Linked DNA regions of Mus musculus. The protein of the gene in region 1 interacts with the protein of each later gene in a biochemical or structural test. Links are inferred from orthologs where the notes say so. Each region holds a gene or a part of one and is shown in the gene's direction. Other genes may lie near its edges.

The links.
Region 2: the proteins of Lrrk1 (region 1) and Fgfr2 form a complex in vitro, tested with the Homo sapiens proteins (2 studies listed by BioGRID and IntAct, with this or other methods). The link is inferred for Mus musculus from reciprocal best matches to the Homo sapiens genes LRRK1 and FGFR2.
Region 3: the proteins of Lrrk1 (region 1) and Foxp1 form a complex in vitro, tested with the Homo sapiens proteins (2 studies listed by BioGRID and IntAct, with this or other methods). The link is inferred for Mus musculus from reciprocal best matches to the Homo sapiens genes LRRK1 and FOXP1.
Region 4: the proteins of Lrrk1 (region 1) and Vgll4 form a complex in vitro, tested with the Homo sapiens proteins (2 studies listed by BioGRID and IntAct, with this or other methods). The link is inferred for Mus musculus from reciprocal best matches to the Homo sapiens genes LRRK1 and VGLL4.
Region 5: the proteins of Lrrk1 (region 1) and Abl1 form a complex in vitro, tested with the Homo sapiens proteins (2 studies listed by BioGRID and IntAct, with this or other methods). The link is inferred for Mus musculus from reciprocal best matches to the Homo sapiens genes LRRK1 and ABL1.
Region 6: the proteins of Lrrk1 (region 1) and Snx21 form a complex in vitro, tested with the Homo sapiens proteins (2 studies listed by BioGRID and IntAct, with this or other methods). The link is inferred for Mus musculus from reciprocal best matches to the Homo sapiens genes LRRK1 and SNX21.
Region 7: the proteins of Lrrk1 (region 1) and Chgb form a complex in vitro, tested with the Homo sapiens proteins (2 studies listed by BioGRID and IntAct, with this or other methods). The link is inferred for Mus musculus from reciprocal best matches to the Homo sapiens genes LRRK1 and CHGB.

What each region holds. Positions count from the first base shown.
Region 1 is NC_000073.6:66,266,342-66,269,841, reverse strand, and holds part of Lrrk1 (leucine-rich repeat serine/threonine-protein kinase 1), read left to right. Parts: coding exon 1-104; intron 105-3,233; coding exon 3,234-3,351; intron 3,352-3,500.
Region 2 is NC_000073.6:130,260,309-130,263,808, reverse strand, and holds part of Fgfr2 (fibroblast growth factor receptor 2), read left to right. Parts: intron 1-1,742; 5' UTR 1,743-1,894; coding exon 1,895-2,060; intron 2,061-3,500. UniProt on the Homo sapiens protein: Tyrosine-protein kinase that acts as a cell-surface receptor for fibroblast growth factors and plays an essential role in the regulation of cell proliferation, differentiation, migration and apoptosis, and in the regulation of embryonic development.
Region 3 is NC_000072.6:98,942,346-98,945,845, reverse strand, and holds part of Foxp1 (forkhead box protein P1), read left to right. Parts: intron 1-110; coding exon 111-312; intron 313-419; coding exon 420-499; intron 500-1,125; coding exon 1,126-1,227; intron 1,228-3,500. UniProt on the Homo sapiens protein: Transcriptional repressor. Can act with CTBP1 to synergistically repress transcription but CTPBP1 is not essential. Plays an important role in the specification and differentiation of lung epithelium.
Region 4 is NC_000072.6:114,862,822-114,866,321, reverse strand, and holds part of Vgll4 (transcription cofactor vestigial-like protein 4), read left to right. Parts: exon of another isoform or gene 1-1,729; coding exon of another isoform or gene 1,730-1,869; intron 1,870-2,242; coding exon 2,243-2,438; intron 2,439-3,442; coding exon 3,443-3,500. UniProt on the Homo sapiens protein: May act as a specific coactivator for the mammalian TEFs.
Region 5 is NC_000068.7:31,758,497-31,762,738, forward strand, and holds the start of Abl1 (tyrosine-protein kinase ABL1), read left to right. Parts: upstream 1-1,442; 5' UTR 1,443-1,540; coding exon 1,541-1,619; intron 1,620-1,676; exon of another isoform or gene 1,677-1,895; coding exon of another isoform or gene 1,896-1,959; intron 1,960-4,242. UniProt on the Homo sapiens protein: Non-receptor tyrosine-protein kinase that plays a role in many key processes linked to cell growth and survival such as cytoskeleton remodeling in response to extracellular stimuli, cell motility and adhesion, receptor endocytosis, autophagy, DNA damage response and apoptosis.
Region 6 is NC_000068.7:164,789,021-164,793,270, forward strand, and holds the end of Snx21 (sorting nexin-21), read left to right. Parts: intron 1-2,521; coding exon of another isoform or gene 2,522-2,553; exon of another isoform or gene 2,554-2,558; intron 2,559-2,692; coding exon 2,693-3,367; 3' UTR 3,368-3,750; downstream 3,751-4,250. Other genes in the region: Acot8 (acyl-coenzyme A thioesterase 8), read right to left, coding at 3,872-3,990. UniProt on the Homo sapiens protein: Binds to membranes enriched in phosphatidylinositol 3-phosphate (PtdIns(P3)) and phosphatidylinositol 4,5-bisphosphate. May be involved in several stages of intracellular trafficking.
Region 7 is NC_000068.7:132,780,431-132,784,441, forward strand, and holds the start of Chgb (secretogranin-1 precursor), read left to right. Parts: upstream 1-1,211; 5' UTR 1,212-1,303; coding exon 1,304-1,352; intron 1,353-4,011. UniProt on the Homo sapiens protein: Secretogranin-1 is a neuroendocrine secretory granule protein, which may be the precursor for other biologically active peptides.

The sequences.
Region 1 (3,500 bases):
GCCACCTTCATGTACATGCTGCCCTGTGGGAAGCAGTCGGCCTTCTTCTCATCCCAGAGCCAGGAGTACACTGTGGTGTTCTGGGATGGGAAGGAGGAGTCCAGGTAATCTCTTCCCCTGTCCTTCCCTGCACACTGGGAACAGAAAGCAGCGATGCCGGTGGGGTGTATTATTGAGCAGACAGAAGAATGCAAAGCCTGGTTGTAGTACATTCAAAAGAGAAGAAGGGCCAGGTGGGGGTGGCAGAGGCCTTTAATCCCAGCACTCAGGAGACAGAGGCAGGCGGATCTCTGAGTTCAAGGCCAGCCTAGTCTACAGAGTGAGTTCCATGACAGCCAGAGCTACACAGAGAAACCCTATCTCAAAAAAGAGGAGGGGCACAGGTCTGAAGCTAAGGGAAGCAAAGAAAAGGTTGGATGTGTTGGAAACCCAATTCCAGGAAGAGAGGGAGAGTGTTGCTTCGAGATGAAGTTAGCCACATTCTGAACACGGACATTAGATGATGCTGAAGGTGGAAGGGTGAGCAGCCAATGGGGTGGGATTACGAAGCCAGCAGACCAGAGCCGAAGGAAGGCAGGAGGCTGTAGCAGAAGGGTCGCTGTCTAATAATTGGCTGTGGGGCAGTCTCTTCTGGTTTCAGCTCTTTTTCATAGAAAAGTGGCAGGAAGTGAGAATGGGGAATGAGATATCTGAGAAGAAAAGAGAAGGTCCAAAATGGTCACCATGATCTGGGGAGCCAGGGTGCCTGCAGGGAAGTACAGAGACCCACTGTAAGTTACAAAGAAACCCACCAGCCTGGCTATGTGACTTCTGCTCACTCCAACTCCTAAGACTGAAGATGGCTGAAAACCTGACTGTTTCACCAGGAAGGAGAGAGGAAGCAGGATGTGAGGGTCTTTCAATGGGGCATTTAGAGAGAAGGCTCGTAGGACCTGAGACGGTAAAGTAGGGAGAATACACAATGGCCCTAGAAGGTCCCCAGCTAGATATGACTCAAGGCAGAGTAAGCTAAAGATCCAGGAGAGGGTCAAGAGGCAGTTGACGGTCAGCATCGTGTGGCCAGAGAGCAGTCAGTAGTAGAAGGCAAGAGGTCTGCTGTAGGGAAGACCCACTAGGAGGAAGAAAGAATTCCTGAGACCCAGAGGCATGGGAAGGAGAGTGGCAAGAGACGAAATCTCCATGGAATGGAGGTTTTGTGTGATGGCCTTTAGGGTTGTCCGGTGCAGGCTGCCCCTTCTGCCCCCAACACGAGAGCTTTGCAAGTTAGTGTAGTCTTCAGATGCTCTCAGTGGAGAGCATTTACAGGCCTCACAGTCTGCGAGAGGAGGCTTAGACGACGTGAGAGTTGACTAGGGTCGGATCAGCAGAATGGACTCTGACATTTGCATGGATCTGAGGCTCTTAAGCTGTCAGTGGGGACATGGACAGAGGGAACATAAGTTCACAGTTCCAATTCTTTGCATTGGAGAGGACCAAAGGAATGTCACTGGCACTCCGGGATCTAGACATAGTCTCTAAGTACCAAGGAGAAGCAGGGTTTATCAAATGGCTGTCTCCAGGACTGGGCCTGGAACATTTGACACAAGAGAAGCAAGGAAGCAGGCAGAGGCTTCTGGGAGCATCTTAATGGGACCCCGGAGTCAGCCAGGTCTGCAGATGCTGGGACAGACCCTCTCTCACCCACCTGAAGATGTTTGCTTTCCCTTCATCACAGACGTGAGCAGGATGCTGGAGAGAGTTGGACCTGGGGGGAAAAATGATCTTTTCCAGTAAGAAGAAAGTGTCCTTAAAAACTCCCACCAAAGAAGGGAGAGTGAGGCAGAGGGCTTCTACTTGGGCACACAGAGCAGGGAACCTGGAGAGAGAGAAGATCAGATGCCCAGACTGATCCGTGGAAGAAGAAAGGAAAGAAGGCAGGAAAACCAGGGCAGCACGACACTACTATGGTTAGACTCTGGTCTTTTCTCCGTAGTTTTTATTTTTCTTACAAAGTGTCATTAATTTTTTTTCAATACATAGGAGGAAAGACTAAAATGAATAGACAGAACTTTGAAGGAAGTTTAGTTTGCAAGTTTTGTATCCATTTTTATCATCTGCAGTCGTTTGGTGTCAGTCAGGGATGGAGAAAGCCTTCTAAAACCTGGCTCCAGGAAAGAACTCATAGTGTGGCTCCTGTCCATTGCTCCACTTCCTCTCTGACCGGGAGAAAGAGCTGTGCGCTCTGGGGAGTGCGGCTAACCAACTAAACACTCCTCTACTTGGCTTCACTCCCTTCTCCATGCAAAGGACACTGGGGACATGTGGAGGGGCAGTGGTGCTGGACACATCCTGGCCTGTGAGCCAAGAGCTTGCTCTCCTCACTAACTGTGAGCTGTTCTCAGAGTACCCAGGTTGGAGGTGTGTCTTGAGCTCCATCCATTCAAGTGTAGACTTTGCACATCTTATCTTTAGCCTGCAGCTGTCTACTAAGCTCAAGAGGCTGCCTCTGTTTCTGTGATGGGTGGCCTCTGGTCAGTGGGAGAGCAGTGAGCAGACCAATGGAGGTGCCCTTTGTCATCATGTTGGGATGGTTGCATGAACCCTTGGAGGTCACAAAAGGAAAGGAGGCTGGCTTCCTGTTGGAATGCCCTTTCTCTTCCATGTTCAAGCCTTGCATAGCAGGCAAACCCAGATGTACCCAATGGCATGAAGGCTGGTCCTTGAGTCTCTCAGGATGTGGCAAGGTGTGCGTCTGATTTCAAGAGGTGAACAGGGTAGCAGACAGCGTCCTTTGTGTGTAGTTACCTTTGTGTCACTGTGGGCAAAATAACTGACAGAAACAACTCAATAGTGGATAACTGATCCAGACTCACTGTGTCCAGTCCCTGCTGTCTCAGCCCCCTGCCCTTGGGGGGAAAAGCACGGTGGCAGAGGCTCTTTTACTTCTGGGAAGACAAGATGCAGAGAGAGGAAACAGGAGAGACAGAGAAGGTGGGGAGGGAGACCGGGGTCCTGATAGATCCTTCAAGGCCCTGCCACCAATATCTCATCCCCTCCAGCTAGCCTCGCCTCCCAATGTTGCTAGAACCTCTCAAAATAGTGCCTACATCTGGGAACCAAATCTTTAAAACATGAACCTGTGATAGACCCTTCATGCTTAAAGGATTACCCCTGTTCCAAGGCCATTCCACCAGCCTGGGGAAGGAGGTGCCCCTGGCTATCTGAAACTAACTATATGTCGTTGCTAACCACAGGAATTACACGGTGGTCAACACAGAGAAGGGCCTTCTGGAAGTACAGAGGATGACCTGCCCCGGGATGAAGTTGAGCTGTCAGCTCAAGGTCCAGAGCTCAGTGTGGATAGCCACGGAGGTAACTGCCAGCCTCCAGGGTCCGTGTCAGGGTGAGCGTTAGAGGGGGACAGTTCCCAGGGGGACCAGACTTGTAAAAGTACAAGATGTCAAGATCAACTTGTCCCTGAGCGATCCCTAAAATAATGTCATCGATCCTGTGAGGTAGGT
Region 2 (3,500 bases), about 64 Mb from region 1:
GGTTTGAGGAGGGGGCTCCTGTGGGGGCTGGGACTTCGAAGAACGAACGTTCAAGTTGAGTCAGCCTGGGGCACTGGCCATCTTCCTCATTCAGCTGGAGCTGAGGTACTCCTGGGTAGTGGCTAGTAGAGACAGTGGGCCCAGCACTCTGCTTCAAGACCTACTGGGACCTGAGATTGCAAAGTTGCTGGAGAGGGGAGTTTACCTGCATTCTGAAAGTTCTTAGGAAATCAACGAGAATGTTTGTGCACTTTCCTTTGACTGGTATGTAGAAATAGACAAGGAATTATCTTTTGTGACTCTTGGCTTTAAGAAGAAAGAAGACTTGGGGGAACAAAAATCCTTCCAGCCAACTAAAAACACTGGGCACCTAACTGCTCATATACCCCTGGCTTTTGTTGTTAGCTATACCATTCTACCTGTGCTTAAAAAAACAACCAAACAGCAGCTTCCTATTCCCCTCTTGGAGATGGTACGTCCTCTCTGCCTTAGTCTCAGTGAAGGCTGAAAGGAACAGATTTTAGGACGGAGGTTCTGGCAGTGTCGAAATCCTGTGTCATAATTGAAAGCATCAAAAGCGCACGGGATTAGAATTCTTTTTCTCTTTCTCTCTTTTTCATTAAAACGCTCACCCATCCCCAGTCTCATAAAATGGGCATCCCAGCATCCAAAGCCCATGGTTTTGTGCGATCCTTTCCTGCCATTGGTTTCAGCAGATTCTCTAAAGCTCGTGCATTCTGACTCAAAGATTAGTCACTGAAGACACTGAACAAACATAAAGTTATTTGTACTGTGGTAAGCTTTTTTTTTTGGGAAATTCTCTGCTTTGGATCTAGTAAATTGAGTGCCCCCTTGTAACTGATACTTGGGAGGTTTAGCCAATAGGTTAGCGTATTGAAAGTTCCCAGGCCAATCACATACCAGGGCAGCTTGTACGTATCATCACCATTACTAATAAAATCTTGAATTATTCATCAAGGGTTGTATCTTTACCCCTTTGACGTCGGTTGCAGATATTTAGTTAGTATGCCTGTACACTGCCTTGTAGTCAGTGGAAGGGAATTCAGGCTTTGAATCCCCCGGTTGGATTAAACTCACTCTTTGTAAGTGGCTGCTTGGCGGAAGATTGAAATACACGCCTGCATTCGAAAATGAATTCTGACAAGTGTAAACTGGTGGGAATGTTTTTGAAGCCTTCCTGAGATTCTTTGATTCTGTTGGTCTCCTTTCTTTCTGAGAACCGTTCTGAAGCGAGGACGTGCCGCTCAGCTCAGCTGAAATGCGGTTCTCAGAGCAGACCCTTCCTCCAGTCAGCGTCTTAAAGGCCAGCTGGAATAAGAGACGTTAATGAGGCTGGCCATGCCAAGCCCAGCGTTTTAAACTCAGGTTTTTCTGCAGTTGCCCTTGAAAGGAATGAAGGTCAAGTTGCTTCAGCAACCTTGCAGCTTTGATAGTGGACGGAAGGGCACGCTGCAGAGCTGGGTGGCTGGGTCCTACAGTGATGGTTTATCTTGCGTCTCTTAAAAGTAAGCTTAAAAAAAAAAAGATTAGCCTACTGCAGCTTGTGGACTAGCCTGGAAACACCTGGGACGCTGAGGTGAGGATGGAAGGCTTTTCCGATAATGAGAAAGAATGTGTTTGCGAATGTATTGAGAGGCTGAGAAATGGTTTTATCCCATCTGGGTTTAAGCAAGTTGGCACTGGGGGAAAAAACTGAATCTGGCTGAATCTCTCTCTTTCAGTGGCAGCCACAGCAGCAGCAGCAGCAGCAGTGGGAGCAGGAACAGCAGTAACAACAGCAACAGCAGCACAGCCGCCTCAGAGCTTTGGCTCCTGAGCCCCCTGTGGGCTGAAGGCATTGCAGGTAGCCCATGGTCTCAGAAGAAGTGTGCAGATGGGATTACCGTCCACGTGGAGATATGGAAGAGGACCAGGGATTGGCACTGTGACCATGGTCAGCTGGGGGCGCTTCATCTGCCTGGTCTTGGTCACCATGGCAACCTTGTCCCTGGCCCGGCCCTCCTTCAGTTTAGTTGAGGATACCACTTTAGAACCAGAAGGTAAGTTCATGCGTGCCATTTTAAGGGTACCAAGTCGTTTTGGGGATGTGTCTGGGGGAAGTGGTCTTTAAGTGGGAGGCCTGTTTCAGCCGGCTGCCATATGAGTAGTCTCTCTCCGCATCATATCGGAGCTTAGAAGGGAGGGTCTTGTCTCCCAGGCATGAGTGGAGTGGTTTGGTTTGCTCTGTTCTTTGTGCTTGGGTGAGGGAAGCAGTGGCAGTTCTTGTTTAGCCAGTGCCTTACAGCACTCTGGAGGGGACGTACCTTGGCAGGGTGACTGTGGCCTTCTGCAGTTGCTCTCTAGATTGAGGGAAAAGCCTTGAATCACACTATCTTTTGGCTAAAGGAAATAGGCAGCCTCTGAAAGCTGACTTTTTTTTTCTTTTTCCGCATTGTTTAAGAGAAAAGAAGGTTCTGAAGTTGAGCATGGAGAGCCGTGCCATGCTGGATCGGTTTTTAAGCTGGTGTAAGCTCTTTGTGCTTTCACCCGGCATCACAGAGTGGGCAGGTTTCATGTTGGGAAGATTGGAAAGTGAATTTGCCAAGAGTCTTCCCCCATCTGGGGAAAAGCCAGATTTCACTAGTGTGTTTGGCTTTGCACACTTGGTTGCAAATGTGAGAAGCTAGTTGTGAGGAGGACGTGGCTGAAATCCGGAGCTGGGCAAAGCGCTGGTCCTTCTCCCAGGTCCTTCAGAGACGTGGTCTGTGGCCAAGCCTCTCTCCTTGGTGCCGCACGGGAATCTGTCATCAGGAGGGAATATTGGTAGGCGAGTTATTTTTTGAGTGGTAATCCGAGCGTGACACTGCAGATCGCAGCACTCATCGCCACTTAATGAACGTGTTTGCTGAGGGCCCACCTGGTGCCGGCTGGCTTTGGAGTCCGTCACGGTCCTGAGTGCTGGCAGGTCAGCTGAGTTGCTGTGGCTATGCACACTGAATCAGGGTCCTGATTCATCCAGATCATCCAGAGGGGGATTGTAGGAGGGACAGGACCCCTCCCCCAAGGGTGACCTCAAGGAGGGCTATGTACCCATCTGAGAGGAGGGCTTGAGAAATGGGTCCCCAGTAAGATCCACCCAGACAGACACTCTCCCTGGCTTTGTGTGTATGTCGGGCCACACAGATGCCTGGAAATGTTATAAATTACCAGGTATCTTTGGAAAGGAAATGAGGTAGGAGTTTTGTGCATGAGGTGTGTTCAACATACAGCCTCACGTCCTTTTCCGGAACCACCTCTCTGTGACTTATCCTGTGACGTCAGGGAGAGTGTAATCTGCAACAGTGACATGTTTTCAAAGGGCTTAATGTGAGGGGGAAAGGATTGGGTTTCTGAAAGTCTGGTCTGCACTTCTTTAATTTTGTTAATAATTAAAATGGATGTCCCCCTAATTGCCGGTTGTCCCTGGAGTGTGTGGCTCAGCACTAACTAAGGAAGCTGAG
Region 3 (3,500 bases), on another chromosome or scaffold:
TCTGGGACAAGAGAGGTTTTCACGGTTGCTCGGATTTCTGTGGTTGTTTGATTTGTGCTTTTTGTTTTGCCTTTCTCAAGTTCTTCTAACCCATATCCTTCTCCTCACAGCTGAATCTGGTATCAAGTGTCACCCTCTCCAAGTCTGCCTCAGAGGCTTCTCCACAGAGCTTACCTCATACTCCAACAACCCCCACCGCCCCCCTGACTCCTGTCACCCAAGGCCCCTCCGTCATCACCACCACCAGCATGCACACGGTGGGACCTATCCGCAGGCGGTACTCAGACAAATACAACGTGCCCATTTCTTCAGGTAGCTACTCTCTGTCTTTGCCTGGGGCGGCATGGGGAATCTGCAGTTCCTATCGACGAGCCCCTTTTTAAAAAGCGATCATTAATAGGACAATGATTCTCATTTAGCAGATATTGCGCAGAACCAAGAATTTTATAAGAACGCGGAAGTTAGACCACCATTTACATATGCATCTTTAATCAGGCAGGTAAGTAAATAACATGGACCGTGAAATGCTATCAAAAGGTGTACGTGGGTATATTATATTGATGAAGTAGATTTAAAACCACTTAGTATGCAAGCATGCTAAAACCTTTTCTATAAGGTTTTTAAAAACTGCAATATATAACATAATTGCTTTTGATTAAGTATTACAATACGATGTGATTATTAGGGAATTCATTTCACACAACAGTGAGAATGAGGCTGTTTAAAGATGGCAAGTCAATTATCACAAAGCTACAGTAATCTCTGATCCCTGGAATTAATCTGAGCTCTAAATAATTACTGAGCTTTAATCAGCTAGTGAAATGTTTTGCATTTCTCTTTGATTCTGCTTTATGAATGACTAATAAATTAATATTTCTGTACGGAAACAGAAATAAAAACTCCAAACAATTAGATAATTCCATTTCGAGTTTTGCTACTGAACTGCTTAAATACAACCATTAATCTTCGATCATTTTGTGAAACCTGCCTGAGGAGTTTGCTCCAAATTCCAGTTTTGGTTCCGGTTTGGTTGGGTTTTCTTTTTCTACATTTTTATGAACACTGTCGAATGACCCTGCCTATTGGATGATGAATTACCTTCTCCGGATTCTTTTTGCCTCGTAGGCCATTCTCGAATCTCCAGAAAAGCAGCTAACACTAAACGAAATCTATAACTGGTTCACACGAATGTTTGCTTACTTCCGACGCAATGCAGCCACGTGGAAGGTAAGCTTTGCAGTCTTGAATTTTTGACCTTTATAGAAGAGAGGATCTTCTGGAGAAGCATCTAGTTATTAGGCAAAGAGAGTATTCCCCTTGCACTGGGGAAGGTGACTAGGAGAAGTGTTTCATTGTGGTTGAAGTGTTCAGATGGAAGAGCCACTCCAGCCCCTGCCCCTGCCCCTGCAAGAGAGGTGTGTCTGGATTTGCTGGAGAATCCTGTGTAGGGGAAGGAGGTGACCTTGTGACCCTTAACTCGGAGGTTGGCCCTGTGCTGACACACACCGTGGGCAACCCAACAGTCATTTTCAGGGGCGTAACTAGGAACCAAGCTGGATAAGATCCTTCAGTGGTTAGATCAGAGCTCAACCCCACAAGCAGCGGAAGCTGTGTAACCCTCATACTCACACGGCCAAAAGGCTGATTTCTGCAGACTGCAAGGTATCCATTATAAGAATGGGTTCATGGCTACCCTGAGGGGAAAAGGTAGTTTCAGAATTATGTAATGTAATGTGACACCATTTGCCATAGAAGAGGTCGGTTGCTAGATAACCCCTAAATGCTTGGAGTCCCTTCTAAATCTCATAGGCATTTACTCCGTGCTCCATTAAGCCTTCCTGGTTAGGCATGGTGGTGCATGCCAGTCATCCCAGCATTTGAGAAGTGGGGAGATTTTTGAGTACAAGGCCAGGCTAGGCTATACAGATAGCCTTCACAACTTTTTCTCAGCTTCCTAGTTTGAATTTATTACACAATGCCTATACACGCCGTTCTATTTAGTACCGCCTAGCATTTAAGATCTGTCCTTATCCATGGTTTCAGTACAACAGGTGCTTTATAGGACGTGGCTTCCTTAGTTTAATAGGAAGAAACAGGTTTTGTTTTTTTTTCCTCCTCGCATTCTATAAGAAGATTAATATAGGCACGGAATTAATTCATTAGCCACATGGGGGCTGACAGGAAGTTATACTGCAGATCTTAGCTTCTTTCCAGTCCTGCCCCAGGAGAGAAAATACAACAGCTCTTTAGTTACCAATCTCTGAAAAGTTTAGGATGTAGAAGCATAAAGAAGACATTTTTCTTCAAATTGCTTTTTATAAATACCAAATGACCACATTTCAAAATAATTATCAGCTGAGGATATGAATTTCAACTCACATCTCCCTTTTCCAGCTTTGCAGAGTAAAGGCAGAAGTGTCACTAATACAAACAGTCCCCTGGGAAGTACCCAGGGACTCGTCAATACAGATAGTTTTTCTCTATGTGTCCTTACTGGGACAGTGATCCAAAGGACACTGTGGAATGGTGTCCTTTGCAGATCCGTTTTAATATACAGAGCGCTCTACATCATTCTGTGAGCAGCAATAGCCCCCGGAGTCTTTGGATTTTTTTGTGCATTTTGATACTTAGGTAAAATTCCCAACAGTGATTGATGCTGCCTTGTTGCCCAGCCGTCTCCCTCACGGGTGTACATGTGCTCTCTTGATTTTGAAAGGGAAGTGGCTACAATTGCTCCTGTCTCCTCCGTGATAGTGGAGGAGATAATTCCCTGTGCAATATAAAGAAGAAGTTGTTTCCTTAAAAGCCAGGTTAATTTTATAGGTGTCGAGTTTTGTTTTTAAGCAGCCCATCAGAAAGCTCTTCCATCAAGGGTAGCCTCTGTCAGTCACGTCAGGATCAGCAGGCTCCTTCCAGCTGTACTCATTCTCCTGGGGGCTCACTCTGTGGAGTCCACTGGTGAGCAAATTATAACAGAGGTAATAAAGATGTGCCCTGTTATCCTCTAAGTAGGGTATCACAGAGAAGACTAACTTTTAGGCAACCCAATTAGTCACCAATGATCAGTTCCCAGAAATCTGAAGGACCTCTGAGAGTTTGAACATTTGTCACCAAGAAAGCAAATTACTGTGGGAGAAGACTGTAGCTTGTCTGGACAATACAATGCTGGGGATTAAGTGAGGGCTTATGTAAGGTGCCAAAATCTCAGCGTATATGTCCTCCAAGCCACTTACTCTGAATGAACAAACAAGCAAGCAAACAAAAACCAAAAAAACAAACCTGCCACTGGCCACTTGTAATAGTCTCAAATTCATCACCCAGTTGCTCAGCCAGGCAAAACTAGAGTGTATCCAGTTTGGTTATCCCGTCAGGGTTGCAGATTTTCCTGAAAATATGAGACATTTCGGGCCTCTTTGCACTTAAGAATGCCCGTTTTGTTAGATGTGAAGGATCGCACTCAGCAATGGCCGTCAGTGACTTTTAAACATAAGAAACGTAGA
Region 4 (3,500 bases), on another chromosome or scaffold:
GGATGTGTGTGGTTTGGGTTAGCGTCCTGACAGCACAGGACACACTGGGCTGTGATTCATTCAAGGGGGAGGGACATGGAAAACAATGTCTGTCTTTAAGCTCCAGGAACCAGGAAAATGAGCTGGAAATAAAGTGATGTGTAATTTTACTAAAATTAACTAGCACATTCCCAGGCTTGCTCTGTGTTTCGTGGTATTTTGTATGATGTTCCATGCCCAGTGCCAGTTGACTGATTTCCTAGGCATGGTCCTGGAGGCCCCCTCTTGGTACCACCTAATTCTGGTCTCTCTGTGCATCTCATCACTGAGGTTGGTGCTTGCCCACGTGAAATGCTGTGGGGATGGAAGGTGGGAGGTGATAAGGACCTGAAGGTTAAAGGGACAAGTGATATTTGCCTGCCTGAGTCTTCTTTCCATCTATAGGGTCTTCCTCAGATCCCCCCACCCCCAGCCCTCCTTGTGTTGGGTTCTTCTGCACCCATTTCCTGCCACAGGGTCTTCTGGGAACCATGATGCTCCCTGGGAGTGTAGAATCGTGTGAAGGCTGTGGATGCACTGTGGTCCACGGGCCAACCCTGGTTCCCCATGAGTCTGCCCACCCCTAGTTTTGTACTCTGATATCTTCCTTTCCCTGTGCAGATGGTCTGCAGCTCAGGGCAGGCAGGATTCCATCTCGCCAGTGGTTTCAGTGCTAGTGTAGGACAGGCAGAGGTGACCAGCAGTGGTGTGGTGGCTTGTGCCTTGAGGGTTGCACTGGAATTCAGGGAAGGACAATATGGCTGCAGCTTCCCTGAGGACTGGCAGGTGGTTATGAATGCTTTGTGGCAAGAGCCAGAGGTGAGCGTGGACAGGCAGTCAGGAACAGTAGATAGAAAGGTGTTGGCTGCTGACATGTGCTCTCTGTAAGGTCAGATTTGCTCTGAGATGAACACAGGGAAGCCACGGAACGATGGGGCTCAGTGGGTGTGGCAGTGTAGTTTTACAACAGTGAGGAAAAGGGATACTGGGTACCCAGGAAGTGCTATGTTACTGCTCACAATTGAAAGTTAAGTGGTGGGCTGGTGAGATGGCTCAGTGGGTAAGAGCACCCGACTACTCTTCCGAAGGTCCAGAGTTCAAATCCCAGCAACCACATGGTGGCTCATAACCATCCCTAACGAGATCTGACTCCCTCTTCTGGAGTGTCTGAAGACAGCTACAGTGTACTTACATATAATCAATAAAATAAATCTTTAAAAAAAAAAAAAAAAAAAAAAAAAAGAAAGTTAAGTGGTCACTAATAAAAGGTGTGGCTGTCACGTGTGTGGTATGACCTTTGGTGGTGTTGCATTTGGCTGGCCCAGCAGGCAGGCATGGCTGCCTTTTGCCCATAGGCACATGACCTGCTTCCCTGATGGCAAAGAACAGGCCAAGCAGGGGCTTAGAGAATAACCTAGAACGTCCAGAAGTCTTGGGAACCATCTTCCACTTTCCTTTCAATTTTAAAGTTGAACAACTCAGCTCTGGCAGTTAGAGGGACAGACTCGAAGGGATTCTAGAATCCCCAAGGGGTTCTAGAATAAGTGGCTGGAGGGAGGACAGAGCTGAGCTTGGAACACCTTGTGTTAGCTGGGCCTTGCGGGCTCTCACGCCATAGCTGTATTGACACTCTCCACAGGCCCGTGTAGCGGCGGCAGCATTGAGCAGCTGGCCTGTGGTCCATGGGGCATTTGCCACATTCAGTGCCGGCATGCACAGCTCCAGGGAGCTGCTGTCCTCTGCTTGTCTGATGCTGTGGCTTCTGGGTACAAGTGCTGCCCACTGGCTGCCATCTTACACACCGAGAAGCAGAGCCATCACACTGGTCATCAGTGTCCTCTCTGGACAGAGGTAGAAATGGCCTCTGCTGCTTAGGAGCAAACATCACTGTGGTCCCTCTCCAGAGCTGGCTTATAGGATTGCACCATTTCTCTGGGTCATTCCCACCCTTCAATGACCAACTGTGCCCAAGCTGACCATGAAGTAGATCTCGTGTGTAGGCAGGCAGCAGCATCTGCCTGCAGGAAAGGAGGGAGGCCACAAAGCCAGCTTCGCCCGCAGGTGCCTCTCCTATACTCAGGGCGTGGTTCCTCAACTCACCTGTTGGTCCTGCCCTTAGCGTTAGTGTAGGAATGTCATGGAAACACCTAGGAGAAAGCACATGGCTCCTCCCCAGGGCCCCCTTTGCCCGTCACCCCCCTCTGAGCATGACCCTGTCTTTCAGGAATAAGACTGTCAACGGAGACTGCCGCAGAGATCCCCGGGAGCGGAGCCGCAGTCCCATTGAACGGGCTGCAGCCCCCGCCGTGAGCTTGCATGGTGGCCACCTGTACGCATCTCTCCCCAGCCTCATGGAGCAGCCTCTTGCCCTGACTAAGAACAGCAGTGACACAGGCAGGTCAGCTGTGGAGCGGCAGCAGGTATGTATATGTCATCTGGAGGTGGCCATATCAGGCTGGATGTTGGGGACTAAGAGCTCCATGGAGAACCCCGAGCAGAAGTCCTGAAGTGAGGGGATGTTGGTACCCTCACTCCTTTGGCTTCCTCTCTGCACAGTGCAGGGTTGATCTGGATGAGTGCCTGGCCCTGGCTTGGATGCCCATCTTCCCTGGCACTGTGTTCCTCGGGGTCAGTGTAGCAATCCTCTTGAGAGGCCGGCCCTTCCCCCATATGATTTCATAAGGCCTAAGTTAAATGTCAGAGCGTTGCTGGGGGCTTGGGTCCTATAAAGTTAGTGGTCATAAACCTGTGAGTAAGGCAGGCCATTGTTGTTATTGCTATTACTTCTACTAGAGGAAAATGAAATTAATGCTATTTAAAAAACAAGGCCAGGCCTAATAGTATAGGCATATAATCTCAGGTACTTGGAAGGCTGAGGCAGGAGGATTACAAGTTTGAGGCAACTTCATAAGGCCTTGACTTACAAAGAGCAAGATAGGTAGAGGGAGACTGAGGACATGGGCACTTGCCTAGTGTGCGAGGCTTCAGCCCCACATAAAAAGCCCCAGAGACAACAAAAGGGTAAGGTTTCTAACAAAGACTGTAGTAAGAGACTTTAAAAGCACACAGGCAGCATGAGAGGGAGGGGTGGGGTGGAGTGTTTCTGTGGGGTGGAGTGTTTCTGTCCCCTGTGTGACCCTTGATGGACTCTGAGCCTCTGGGCCTGTGATTCCTAGGTTTCTGGTCAGTGTTTGTACACACTAACAGGGGAGGGTGGGGCCTGGCCATTAGGAGATGCTGTGTGTTGGGGCTCACCTGCAGGTGCTGGAGAAGGGGACCCCACCCCAGTCTAGTCTCCCCCTCTCGACCTGCTGTTGTGTAGCACAGAGGGCCCGAGGAACAGGGAAGGTCCCTGGCCTGAGAGCTGGGCTCGCTGGCAGCTCCGCTCAGTAGATGAGGAGTTGACCTGTTCTCCCTCCCACAGAACCGGCCCTCTGTGATTACCTGTGCATCCGCGGGTGCCCGCAACTGCAACCTCTCTC
Region 5 (4,242 bases), on another chromosome or scaffold:
GTACTGGTGGCACCCCCTCAGTGTTACGGTCGGCATCATGGAATCATGGAGAGGTTGGCAGGATCAAGACAGCGCTAGTCAGCATGTGGGCTCTCACAGAAAATGGTCTCCCAGGATCAGGAAAGTATCCAGTTGGTACCCTTGCCTCCTGGGCACTCTGGTCCTTTTCTCCAGGAGATTGAATGGCGTGAGTTCTGAAAGTCCCCTGGGTACTTGTGAGGCCTGTTCTGGCAGCAAAGTAGGTCCACTTGGCTTCAGACACATTTTTGGCACAGACACATTTTTGGGTTGATTAGCACGAAAAGTGTGTGACATCCTGGCTGAGAGGCCTGTCACAGGCACAGTCATGGCACTGTTTTTTTTTTTTTTTTCTTTTGCTTTTCGAGACAGGGTTTCTCTGTATAGCCCTGGCTGTCCTGGAACTCACTCTGTAGACCAGGCTGGCCTCGAACTCAGAGATCCACCTGCCTCTGCCTTCTGAGTGCTGGGATTAAAGGCGTGGGCCACCACGCCCGGCAGGTGATAACTTTTGTCATGGATCTAGCTATCCGGTACAGTCTGCTTAGAAGCCAAGAGACCAAACTTTGGAACCAGGCAGACCCTGACTGAGTTGAGTCTTCTGGTTTCCACCATGTGACCTTCTGGAGTGTCTGTTCTCACATGAAGAATCTGGGTCATGATATAACTTTCCTCACAGGATTAGGTGCACGCACCCTCTGGGTACCAAGGCACATGGAGCACTTCTCAGAGAACCATCCTGGGACAGTCAGCTCTTCAAGTGCAAGGATGGGGACCAGACTTTTAGTTATGTGACATTATTTCATAAGTTTATTTTTCCCTTGTCATTGGAACTTGGGTGAGTTTTTATTAGATTTGTTGTAGTTGGGGTCCTTGTTTCCCACCAACTTAGTGCCAGTAGTCCACTGCTGTGACCATTGCTTAGTTAAAATCTTGTTGGTAACCTCGAGCTAGCGTTTAGGAAAACAAAAACTCACCGTGAAATGGATTCAAACATTACCTGTGGCACCAAAAACAGGGGAAATTCTTGTAAAAATGAGGTCAGGAAGGACCGCCATTCCAGCCCACAATGAACACGCACCATAGAGACATTTCCCTAAGCTTAAACTCACAACTCCAGGTCTAAATGGGTGGTTGGACCCGCGTCCGGTATTCGGTATTCCTGTGGGTTCCAGCCCTGACTGTTCACATTCCTCAGATACCCACTTTAGGTTTAATCACAGTCGCTCCCCGAGACCAGTCCTGGTAACTTGAGAGGAATTTGCATTTCCACCGACCTTCCCGGACACGCGGCAGGGGCAGGGGCTACGCCAGCGCAGCTACGCAGCTGGGGAGGGCGTGGAGCCTTCCCTTGGCCTGGAAGGGGTTAAGGGACGGCTGGGGCGGGGCGCTGGGCCCTTTGTTACCGGCCTAGGCGGGAGGCGGGAGGCGGGACGCGGGCCTGGGCGCGGGCCTGCTGGGAGCGCGGCCTGGCGGGGCTGGGGGCCCGGGGTGGTGGGGCCTTCGCCGTGGCCACGGGACCATGTTGGAGATCTGTTTGAAGTTGGTGGGCTGCAAATCCAAGAAGGGGCTCTCTTCGTCCTCCAGCTGCTACCTGGAAGGTAAATCCTGGCCTGGGCGCGGGGCCCACCAGGACTGTCCTGCCCGCCCGTGCCCTGTGTGTTCTAGGTCCCCAGTCTTCTCCCTCTGAGGCCTCTGCGGGTGCTGGTGGCTCATTCGGACTTCCAGAAAGAGAGAGAGAGCCGCGGCTTTGGCGCTGGCGGGGCCCAAGCGCATAGTGTGGCTCCTGCCCAGAAAGTTTGAAAAAGTCAGTGCCACAGGCCTTAAGGTCCTTGTGAGCCCACGTTGTGGTGTTTCCACTGCCAACTGGGAATTGTATGTCACAAAGGTGGACCTACACCAAGTGCCGCGTACAAAGGGATCCCGCTCTACCATTTATGGGTACAGAATTTCATGTGAACTTTCCACCCCCACCCCCACCTTTCTGCAGACCATGAAGAGGTCTTGGGGATTGTCTCTTTTTAGAAGAGAAAGAATGGTTTTGCTTGTATTTCCAGGAGTTTTGAGAGCTTCCAGTTTGATGCTTGGTGAGGGAGCCCCTCATGTTTTGTTCTTTGCATAAACTTAGAGCCAGGAGCCTGTTGCTTTTGCCTGCTTTACCCTGCTCCTCCAATTCCATGCCTCCTTCCTGTTGTCTTTAGTGTTTGGGTCTAAAAGGATGGCAAGGGAAAAGGGTGAGTGGTGAGTGCTGGGGACTCGGCTGTGGCCAGGCCTGTTAGAGTATAGCTGACCTTTGTGGGGACTGCTGCCTTCTTCAGAAGGGCAGAAGCACTCACAGATGTGTGGTGCCCTGGCTTTTCTGGCTGTTTCATGTAAGAGTTAAGATAGGAGTAAAAATGTAAAGTTTTCTTCAGAGCAATTTGGATTTCTACTGTTTTGAATTGTAAAGAATTGAAGGCTTTTCAATATCTAACCTGCTTCCCCGACCCCCCTTCCAAGTCTTTGACTCAAAGACCTACAGGGCCCCACATGACCCAGCTCAGACTTAGGTGCCCAGCTCGGGTAGAGGATGTTCTCCCTTTGCTAGAAGGGAGTATAAGGGACTTCGCTATAAGTCACAGTAAGATTTCAGCCCCTCCGGGGATTTCAGGGCCTGGATTCCTGAGAGGAGCTTGGTGTGGATGGCATGAGCTCAGGGCCTACCACTTAGAGGGAGGGAGATGGTTTATTTGTCCCCAGAGTTGGCATCTGAGCGGCCAGAATCATCCTCAGTTAATGCGTTGCTTATTTTTTCCAAGTTGCTCCACACTCTCCGCACATTTCTCCTCCCCATCTGTATCCAGTTAGTGAGAGGCACTATCTCCATTTTGAGCCGCTGGAGGCGGAGATGAATGGACTTTTGTAACTGCAGAGTTGGGGCATGTCACAGCTTTGCTAAGGTATCAGCTTGTTCCTGGGGTAATGTGGGATTTAGTGCAGAGCTGTTGGTTTAATTCTTGTTTTAGAAGGGGGAAAAAATCCATTCTTATTCCAGCATAATCCTTAAGGTGAATTCTAGCATTGCCAAGTTCCAAAGGAGTGCTGTCCTCACTTGGGTTTTGTAGGCCTTCTCCAGGAAGGTGTCTCTCTAGGAGCTCTTTCTGTTCACTGAGTTCAAAAAGGTAGACGGAATTCTTGTTGTGTAGCTGACGGAATCAAGCTAGCCTCGGTGTAATTATGTCTTGAAGACGGAAGTGCTGTCTGTCTCTGGGGAAGAGAGCTGTTGCCAGAATCTGGGGAAGTAATCTGGGCCTTCATTTCTTGCTTACATCCTAAATCAATCAATCAGTTCATGACACCCACCCAGAGGCCTGGGCCTCACAGGCCAGGAAGAGAATTGAGTATGGTGAATTTTCCATTATTACCAAATGCATGCTCCCTGCTGCTGTGCAGAGAAGGCCTGGTCAGCACAGACAGCAGCAGCAGTTAGATGGCCTTAGTGGGCCAAGCATTGTCTGCATTCCACATGCCCTCACTTTCTGACTTCTTATGGTGGCCCTGATTATCTCATCTTGTAGATAAGAAACTGAGGCACCAAAAAAGGTTAGGTGACATCTCTGAGATGACAGAATCAGCAGGTGGTAGTCCCAGGATTTGAACTTGTGCTATCTGGCTCCAGGGAATTGCACAGAGAGAGAGAAAGGGGGAGAGGGGGTGGAGAGAGAGAGAGAGAGGGAGGGAGGGAGAGAGAGAGAGAGAGAGAGAGAGAGAGAGAGAGAGAGAGAGAGAGAATGAATGTTGGGTATTGGAAGCCAGGGCCTTGAACTACACCCATAGGCCCTTGCCAACTTTTGAATTTTGAGACGGACTTGCCAAGTTGTCCAGTCAGGCTGTGAACTCAATAATCTGTAAACGTAAAGAGACAGGCTTTGCACTTGGCATTTTCTTGCCTCAGCCTGCTGAGCACCTAGGATTTCAGGCTTGCACCCCAGCACCTGGCCCAGAAAGCCCATTCTTAGCCTGTCTGTGCTAATAATGGATCATTGGTCTGCCGTGGCATTGTTCTCCCGTGGAAAACACTATGGATCATTCAATACTGTCTTTAGAAATGCCCAGCTAGGGCCTAAACTGTACCAGTCTTTTCCTTTCTGCATCAGGTAATAGTAATACACCTGCTTTCATAAAGCAACAGGACCAGGAACATTTTTTAAGCAAACATAAAAATACTTGTAAGAAAATTCTGAA
Region 6 (4,250 bases), on another chromosome or scaffold:
TCCTCCTCCGTACAGTGGGCATCCCATGTCTCCATATTTCTTCCCCTGGAGGTCAAGAGTAAGGGCTTTAGCATCAGGTCTCAGAGCCAGGGTTGTGCCCTTCACTCCCTCTTGGAGCCTGCTTCCTCAGCTGACAGAGACCAGAGACTGACCTTGCAGGGCTGTTGATGGTTAAGTGACAGCAGGATGGAGATGTGTGGTCCAGCACGAGGCAGTCGACAGAACAGCAGTCACACCATGCTGTGCTACTGCAATGGAACCCATGGCCTCACACAAGTTAGGAAGATCGTGGTCACTGACCTACAGCCGAGCCCCAACAACCACAACCACTGTTACCTACGCGGATAGGAAATGGTCTTTGGCAAAAATTTAAAAATAAAAATAGAAGGGAAGAGTGAGGAATAAATATGATCAAAGTAGGTTTTTTTTTTTGTTTTTTGTTTTTAGATTTATTTATTTATTATATGTAAGTACACTGTAGCTGTCTTCAGACACACCAGAAGAGGGCGTCAGATTTCGTTACAGATGGTTGTGAGCCACCATGTGGTTTCTGGGATTTGAACTCGGGACCTTTGGAAGAGCAGTCGGCGCTCTTAACCACTGAGCCATCTCGCCAGCCCTCAAAGTAGTTTTATATGTACATAAAATTCTTTAAGAATAAGCATGTTAGCATTTTAAAAATCAACTTATATACATAAAAGATTGATGCAGAGCAGCTCTTCCTACAGTGTGTCCTGTGGAAAACACCTTTTCTTAGAGTTGTAGAAAAACAAGAAAAGAGCGAGGCCTGGCGGGTGGGTGTTTGTCCAGTACTTGGGAGATGGAGGCATGAAGATCAGGAGTTCAAAGCCAGCCTGGGGAAAAAAAAAGAAAGGAAACAGTATCTAGTCTGTCTGTTTGAACAATACAGGGCGGATGGGTGTGAAATGGGTTTTTGTTGTTTTAATGCACTGTGAATCTTCAAAAAAAGAAAGACCAGGTAAGCCTAACTGGAATAACGGGGCTACTGGCAGCCCCATTGGATATACTTGGGGGAAATGTCTGGATATGCTGGGTAGCCCTTTAATGTGGACCCTTGCAGGTGCCCCATTTAAACCGTCAGCTTGGCATCGATCCTCATTAGTCCTAACTGATCCTTACCTTGGATCTCGGATCTGTGGGGACTCGGATCTGTAGGCATCCTGGTTAGTGTTTACCAAGCAGGAATCATTATAGCCTTTGGTTTCCTTGAAAAAGCTCCTAGGGGGTCAGGGAAAGGGCTCAGCCCGAAAAGGTGTTTGCCTGACAACCTGAGTTTAACCTCCAGAACCCATGGTGGAAGGAAGGAAGGAAGGAAGGAAGGAAGGAAGGAAGGAAGGAAGGAAGGAAGGAAGGAAGGAAGGAAAGAAACGAGCAAGCAAGCCATTTATGGTGCCTTATGCCTATAATCCCAACCCTTGGAGCTAAGGCAAGAGGAACACCAAAAGTTCAAGGCTAGCCTGGGCTATAGAGACCTTGGATTACTGCAGAGGGCTGGCAGTGTGGCTTGCTTCACTGGTAGAGTACCTGGCTGGCACACACAAAGCTCTGGCTTCCATCCCCCGCTCTGCATACACTGGGTGTGGTTGGGTAATCCTGTAGTGTCAGCACTTGACTACAGAACAAGCTTGAGGTCAGCCAGGACCCAGGAGACTCTCAAAAACCAAAACACCGTCTTGCCAAACTAAATAGCCCAGCACTTGTCATGACCCGATGACCTGAGCTGTCCTCAAATCTCATGATGGAAGAGGAAAACAGAATCCTGAAAGGTTTCCTCTAACCTCCATTTGTAAACTATGGCATCAGACTCGGGTGTGTGTCCAAACACAACAACAACAACAGAGACAGACAGACACTAAACCCAAAACAAAAACAACAAAAAAAGAATTGAAGAGGCTGGGCATGGAGTTACATTCCTTTAATCCTACCGTTCAGGAGGCTGTGTCAGATTGTGAATTAGAGGCCATCATGGGCTACACGGTGAGACTGTCTCAAGGGACAAAACCAGAAAGGAATCCGAGAGCATCAGGAACCACCCTGTTTCTGATGCAGTGTACTCCAGTGTGCGTGCGACACCTAGAAACCTTGAGCACCAAAGCCGGGCATCCCTGAGCAAAAGTGGCCTGAGCCTAGGAACTTCTAACCAGAGCACAGGAAGATCTGAGACCCTGCTCTGCCTGGGTCACAGGAAGGAGGCTGACTTGCGGTTACATGAGTCCCAATCCATCATTTTTGCTACTGAGGCTGTCTGAAGACCCATCCTTTGGTCTGGTGTGAACGAGCTTGGCCAGTAATGTATCCAGAGTGGCACATAGTTCCTAGCTGGCTCTCAGAAGGCTCAGACGCCCAAAAGAGGGGTCTGGGTTTCAGTTCACCCCTGGCTTTCCTAAGGCTTTCCCAACAACCAACTCCCAAGGGGCTGGGCATTTCCCGGAGCAGTAACATGGTGGCAGCCCCAGACATTGAAACTCATTTCTGTCTTTTTTCCCCCATGCTACCTTGGGCCTGGGTCATTTCAGAGGAGCCTCAGGTAAGGTAAGGTAAGCTCTGCAGCTTCCTCCTAGCCAGTCTCAGAAGAGGTGAGGTGGAAGAGCAGAGCCCGGAGTATGGACGGGAGGGAGGGAAGAGACCCACCGAGGTTTTACATCAGCCCTGACATCCACCCTTCCTACAGCTCTACACCCTCGCCGTGATGGGCCCAGGGCCACCAGATCGCCAGCCAGCCCAGATCTCTCGCCGATACTCGGACTTTGAGCGGCTGCACAGAAACCTGCAGCGGCAATTCCGGGGCCCCATGTCTGCCATCTCCTTTCCCCGTAAGCGCCTGCGCCGGAACTTTACTGCAGAAACCATTGCCCGTCGCAGCAGGGCCTTTGAACAGTTTTTGGGCCACCTGCAGGCAGTGCCAGAGCTACGCCAAGCTCCGGACCTGCAGGACTTCTTTGTGCTGCCCGAGTTGCGGCGGGCACAGAGCCTCACCTGCACTGGTCTTTATCGTGAGGCTCTGGCATTGTGGGCCAACGCCTGGCAGCTGCAGACCCAGTTGGGCACCCCATCTGGCCCAGACCGTCCCCTGTTGACTCTGGCTGGGCTGGCCGTGTGCCATCAGGAGCTGGAGGATCCCGGGGAAGCCCGAGCCTGCAGTGAGAAGGCCCTGCAGCTGCTGGGGGACAAGAGACCCCATCCTTTCCTGGCACCCTTTCTTGAGGCCCATGTCCGGCTCTCCTGGCGCCTGGGCCTGGACAAACGGCAGTCGGAGGCCCAGCTCCAGGCACTACAGGAAGCAGGCCTTACCTCTACCCCACCGCCCAGCCTCAAGGAGCTGCTCATCAAAGAGGTGCTGGACTAATTTCCTCCTGTCTTAAGGCCATGCCTAGGAGACAGGCTGGCCCAGGTTAGGGGACAGGGGCTGAGGACACAGCAGCTGGGAGCCTATTGAGTAGTTCCAGAAAGAGTCTGCAGCAGACTGAGGGGAACTTTATTATGCCAGACAGGACTCCGAGCAGGCTTTGGCTGGGGTTACCCTAGGATAACACCAGGAGGAAGTCTTGGCATGGGCTCTTCAGCCTACCACAGCTGGAGGCTGTGGCCAAGGTCAGAATCAGTATGTCTCTGTATCCATGGGCCTCTAAACCAGTGAAACAGTTTGGTGAAGGGCTGGGGACTGCGACTGTAGTCCTGGAAGTCAGAGGCACGGGGAGGGCTGTAGTTCTATTAAAGGTCAGCTACTCCAGTGTTAGCAATCTCTTTATTGTATGTAAGAGGCAGGAAGCCCAGCTCTCAACTGTGACTCCTGCCTCAGAAATGGCAGTGCAAAGTCCTTTTAGCCCCAGGCCGAGCCAGGCATCTTTCACTATAGCTTACTCTCTGACACCTGAGGCTTCAATCGGATCACACCCTCCTGGGCACAGGTCACAGCAAGGACCCCATCCCGACGCCACAGCCGCCCATGCACCAGCCCTCGAGAGCCACCTGTAAGCAAGGAGAAGGTGAGATGGCCCCTGCTTCAGCACAAGCGTGCTTTGCCTGCAAAGGATCTGACACAGGGCAGAGCTGTCCCCATACAACCGCACACTGGAACATCATGATTCCAAAGTGCCAAGTGCCCCTGTGTGAGCCTATTATAGTCACCGGGGGTTGGAGGGATCCTCACACCCCAGCACCACTTGATGGTTTAAAAGCACTTTCACGTATCTGCTCACTTCTCAAAAAGATCAGAGGGGCTCTGACAA
Region 7 (4,011 bases), on another chromosome or scaffold:
TCAGCATGTGCAAAGAGAATTTGAGCCTCACTCTTTTCAGGAAAAGGAACTGAAAACTTTTATCACCTGACCAAAAAGATCTCACGTCAGGTTTCACTGGTCCTCGAAATCTGTTATCAGAGCAGATTGTGTCTCTTCTGGGCAGGACGATTGCCTGGCGCTTTTCCCCCAATTCCTTATCAGGCTAACAGAATCCATGTTGAAAATAACCTGGAAGATGCTATCATCTCCATTGCGCACATAATTTAAAATGCGTTTCTATCTCTATTTAAAAGCAAGCAAAGAAGAACAGGTTTTCAAGGATGTACTCCTTACCTCACCCCAAGCTATGCTCCTGTTGTAAAAGAGTAACTAAGGGCCAAAGGGTGACAGCTTAAATAAATGTCTATCAGAAGAGCTGGGTAAGTGACCAATCAAGAGAAAGAGGGGGAGAGGAAGGGGGCGAGGAGGGAAGGGGAGAGGAGGGAGAGGGAGATGGGAATGGAAGGGAGGGGGAGGGAGAGGGGTGGGGAGAGCGAAAGGAAAAGCACCAATTATGTGTGCTCCAAACTAAAATAGGCCTAAGCCACAGAAAGTAGTTACAGAAAAAACTGAACTTGGAAAAAATTGAGGTTAAAAGAGAGAGAGAATTTTGAAGTGTATCCTTTGGCCTGTTTGATTTTTTAAGTTCATCTGAATAAGTACGTCGGGTAGGAGATTCCATAAACAGAAGACAGAAGTGCCATAGATGGGATACACAGACACTGACCAAACATCTCAACCAAGAGCAGGTTACACATTCATGGTTGCACACTGAGGTTTACAGCCATTACTCTCTTGTTAAGGTCTAAGAACCGCCTGTGTATTTATTCCAAGCAAGGATTTTCTTCAGCTTGGCAGAGGATACAGAAAGCTGACCCCCGTCATTTACACACTTCAGAATCACAAGTATCCCACAACCCCAAACTGCAGCATCGGAGGTGTGCGCGGAGGAGCTGGAGCGCAGGCGCGACAATATGAGCCGGACCCTTGTCCCTTCTTGCCTGAGATCTACAGCACCTGGCGTCCCCGCATCCCTGCCCGTGCCTGCTGGGACCCTGCGCAAGGCCGCACACACTGGCTGTGCTTCCGCCCGCTGGCGCCGCCTCGGGGCTGCTCCGTGACGTCAGGGCTGAGCGAGGGGCGCCCCCGCCCGCCGCTCGCCCCCGGGTACTGCACCCCGCCTGCCCTTCATAAGAGCCAGGCCTGCGCCCACCGCGCCACAGCTGCTCTGCGGAGCCCGCACCCGCCGAGCTCCTCCTACACTCAGCTGGCGAGAGGCACCATGCAGCCGGCTATGCTCCTCGGCCTCCTGGGCGCAGCGGCTCTGGCCGGTGAGTGGGATTTCAGCACCCCGGACAGCTCCTAGAGCTGGCGGCACTGGGTTTCACCCTCTATCTCGCCTCTCCTCTTCCCTGTATCCCTTGCCTTGCCTGGCCTGGCTTTGAGTAGGAGAAGCAAGAGCTGTCCAGCTTTTTCCTCCTTTCCCCGCCGGGGCTGTGCAGCCCTTGGAAGCAAAGCCGCATTCTGTGTTCTCTGCAGAGATGTCAGGCTCTATACAGAGCTAGAGAGAGCCTTTGTAGCCTGACTCTCCGTGTGACTTTTCACAGCCCCGTGACCGCAGAGGGGTGGGAATGCACGCAGTTGGCCCCTGCAGAGTTTCCTCTATTATTATAAAGGCACTGAGTTAGAACTAAATCTGAGTGCATTTAAGGCATTTCCCTCAGCGTGTCATATATGTGTGTGCAGGTCTTCGTGTGTCTGTTTACAGGGTTAACATATTTACACTTTGTATTTATGTTTCTAAAGAGAGGTAATTCACATGTTAATTTATGAATGGAAGCTGTACTAGATATTTCTTTCCTTTTGTGCTCCAGAAATAAAAATAACAAGACTGTGTTACACCCATGAAATTATCTTTGGAGTAGCAAAATAAATGTTTTAGTCAATTTTGAAGAATGAAAGCAGAAGTAGTTAATATTTGACGGTTGTGTGTGGATGAGTGCGTTGCTAAGTCTCAAACTACTCTAAATTTACTCAATGGTCTCCAATAGCCTGAAAGATGTGTTTGTGTTGGGAGACTGAAAAATAAGTATAACACCAAATTACACTAGCAGCTCTTTGTCTCTGTGAATGTCCTCGGAAAAGTGTTTTGTTCTGAGACTGAGATTTCTAACTAGAATTGAGATATCCATATGTCTATATGAAATATATAGATGTATATATATATATATAATATATATATATATATGCCTTTGATTGACAGGAATCTCTCATCCAATGTTTGACAAAATGAAAGCCAATGGTAATTTATGTTATTGCATTCATAATGTTCTTATTTTTAAAAATCATTTTTATAAATAACTATTTTTTATAAATATCATATTCTTAATTTGATAAAAGGAAACAAACTGAACAACTTAGAAATTTTCAAGTCCAAAGTATTTCGGAAAGATATTGCTGAACAGGACACAATGATACATTGTACACAATGTACATTCTGTTCTAGATTACAAAACAGTAAGCCTTTTGTAAATCGTTTAACTGGTTAATTAAACTTTTTGGTGGTGGTTAAACATTTCATACCTCTTATGAAGGAATATTTAGTAGTAAAATACCGAAGCTATGCAAATCTCTTCTGTTTTAGGCAACTACTCACTCATCGTGCAGCCTACTGCTTCACTTTGACTATAACCATCTCCACTACCAATTTTAGGGCATGGTCATCACCCCAGAAACACACCATGTATCTTAGCACTCACCTCCTCATTTCCACCTCCCCAAATCTGGCAATGAGGGGATTCCAGTAGTTTGTTACTTAGTAAAATCATGGTTGAGACCCCAGGAAGTCATCTGGTTAATTTTCTACCATTTCGAGCTTCTTGAAGGAGATCCACAACTGTCTGTGTAAGTACTGTGCACCTTAAAAATTAATATGAATAAACCAAATCCATATCCATATCACATAAAAGATAAAGGTATTTTTGCTATGCAGATCCTGTTTGACTCGCAAGTTTGGTGGAATTTGGGGTGCCCATGGTTTACCAGCAAAAGAACATGCTGAGCCTACTTTGCAGCTGTGATTTTCACATGAATCAAACCTTCATAGTCTTATGGATGCTGATGCTTCAAGAGCTATTCTCAGATTTGCTATTTGATTTTTTTTTGTCATTTGATTATTTTACTTTTCCATAAGCATTAAATGTATTTCTTATTTGCTACAGAAATAAGCTAAACCAGTTTTGGGTACCTAATACATCTTTAGTCATTTCTTTGCTCTCACAGATTCTATTGGAAGAAATACATATTACTTAGCACTCTCACCAAGGCTCACAACGCAGCTCCATAAGCAAACCCTAGTTCCTTTCGATTAAGAAGAGTCTGAGGAGTCTCCCTTGGGAAAACGAGGATGCTCTATACTAGTAATTTGTAAACTGCTAATTGTCTAGGACAATGAGACATCCCTTGTCCATCAACTCTGACAAGGGTTAATAGTTTGGCAGTCTGGGTAGTTAAAGTACCCAGTTTATATTGGGAAAGAACAACAGGCAGAACTATATATGTGGATCTGCACTGCTACAGAAGGTCTGGAAAGTTGAACTTGGAAAGGGTGACTTCTCAGTCATTATGGGAGTAATTCTTCCATAGTTATTCTTTCCAGAGGATTTCACAGATTTGAGGTGGAAAAAGAGACTCGCCAAAGTGAGCGTGTTCTCAAAATAGCAGACATTGGACCATGAAAGACTGGCCCTAGGCCGGGGCTCGGTCAGGGAGTGATCACCTGCCATGTGTGAGGATCTGGGCTCAGTCTGCAGCACTAAAGAAAAGGAAAAACCACAGAACCTCCAGAGCCAGGCATAAGAACCCCGTTGGCCAGTCAGGTTTTGTTTGACCTGTCTCTGAGGAAGAACCGGAGTCTTTCTTCATAGCTTATCAAGCACTTTTTAAACATTTTTAAGTGACCCTAATAAACCTGGGTAACAGTGGGACCCT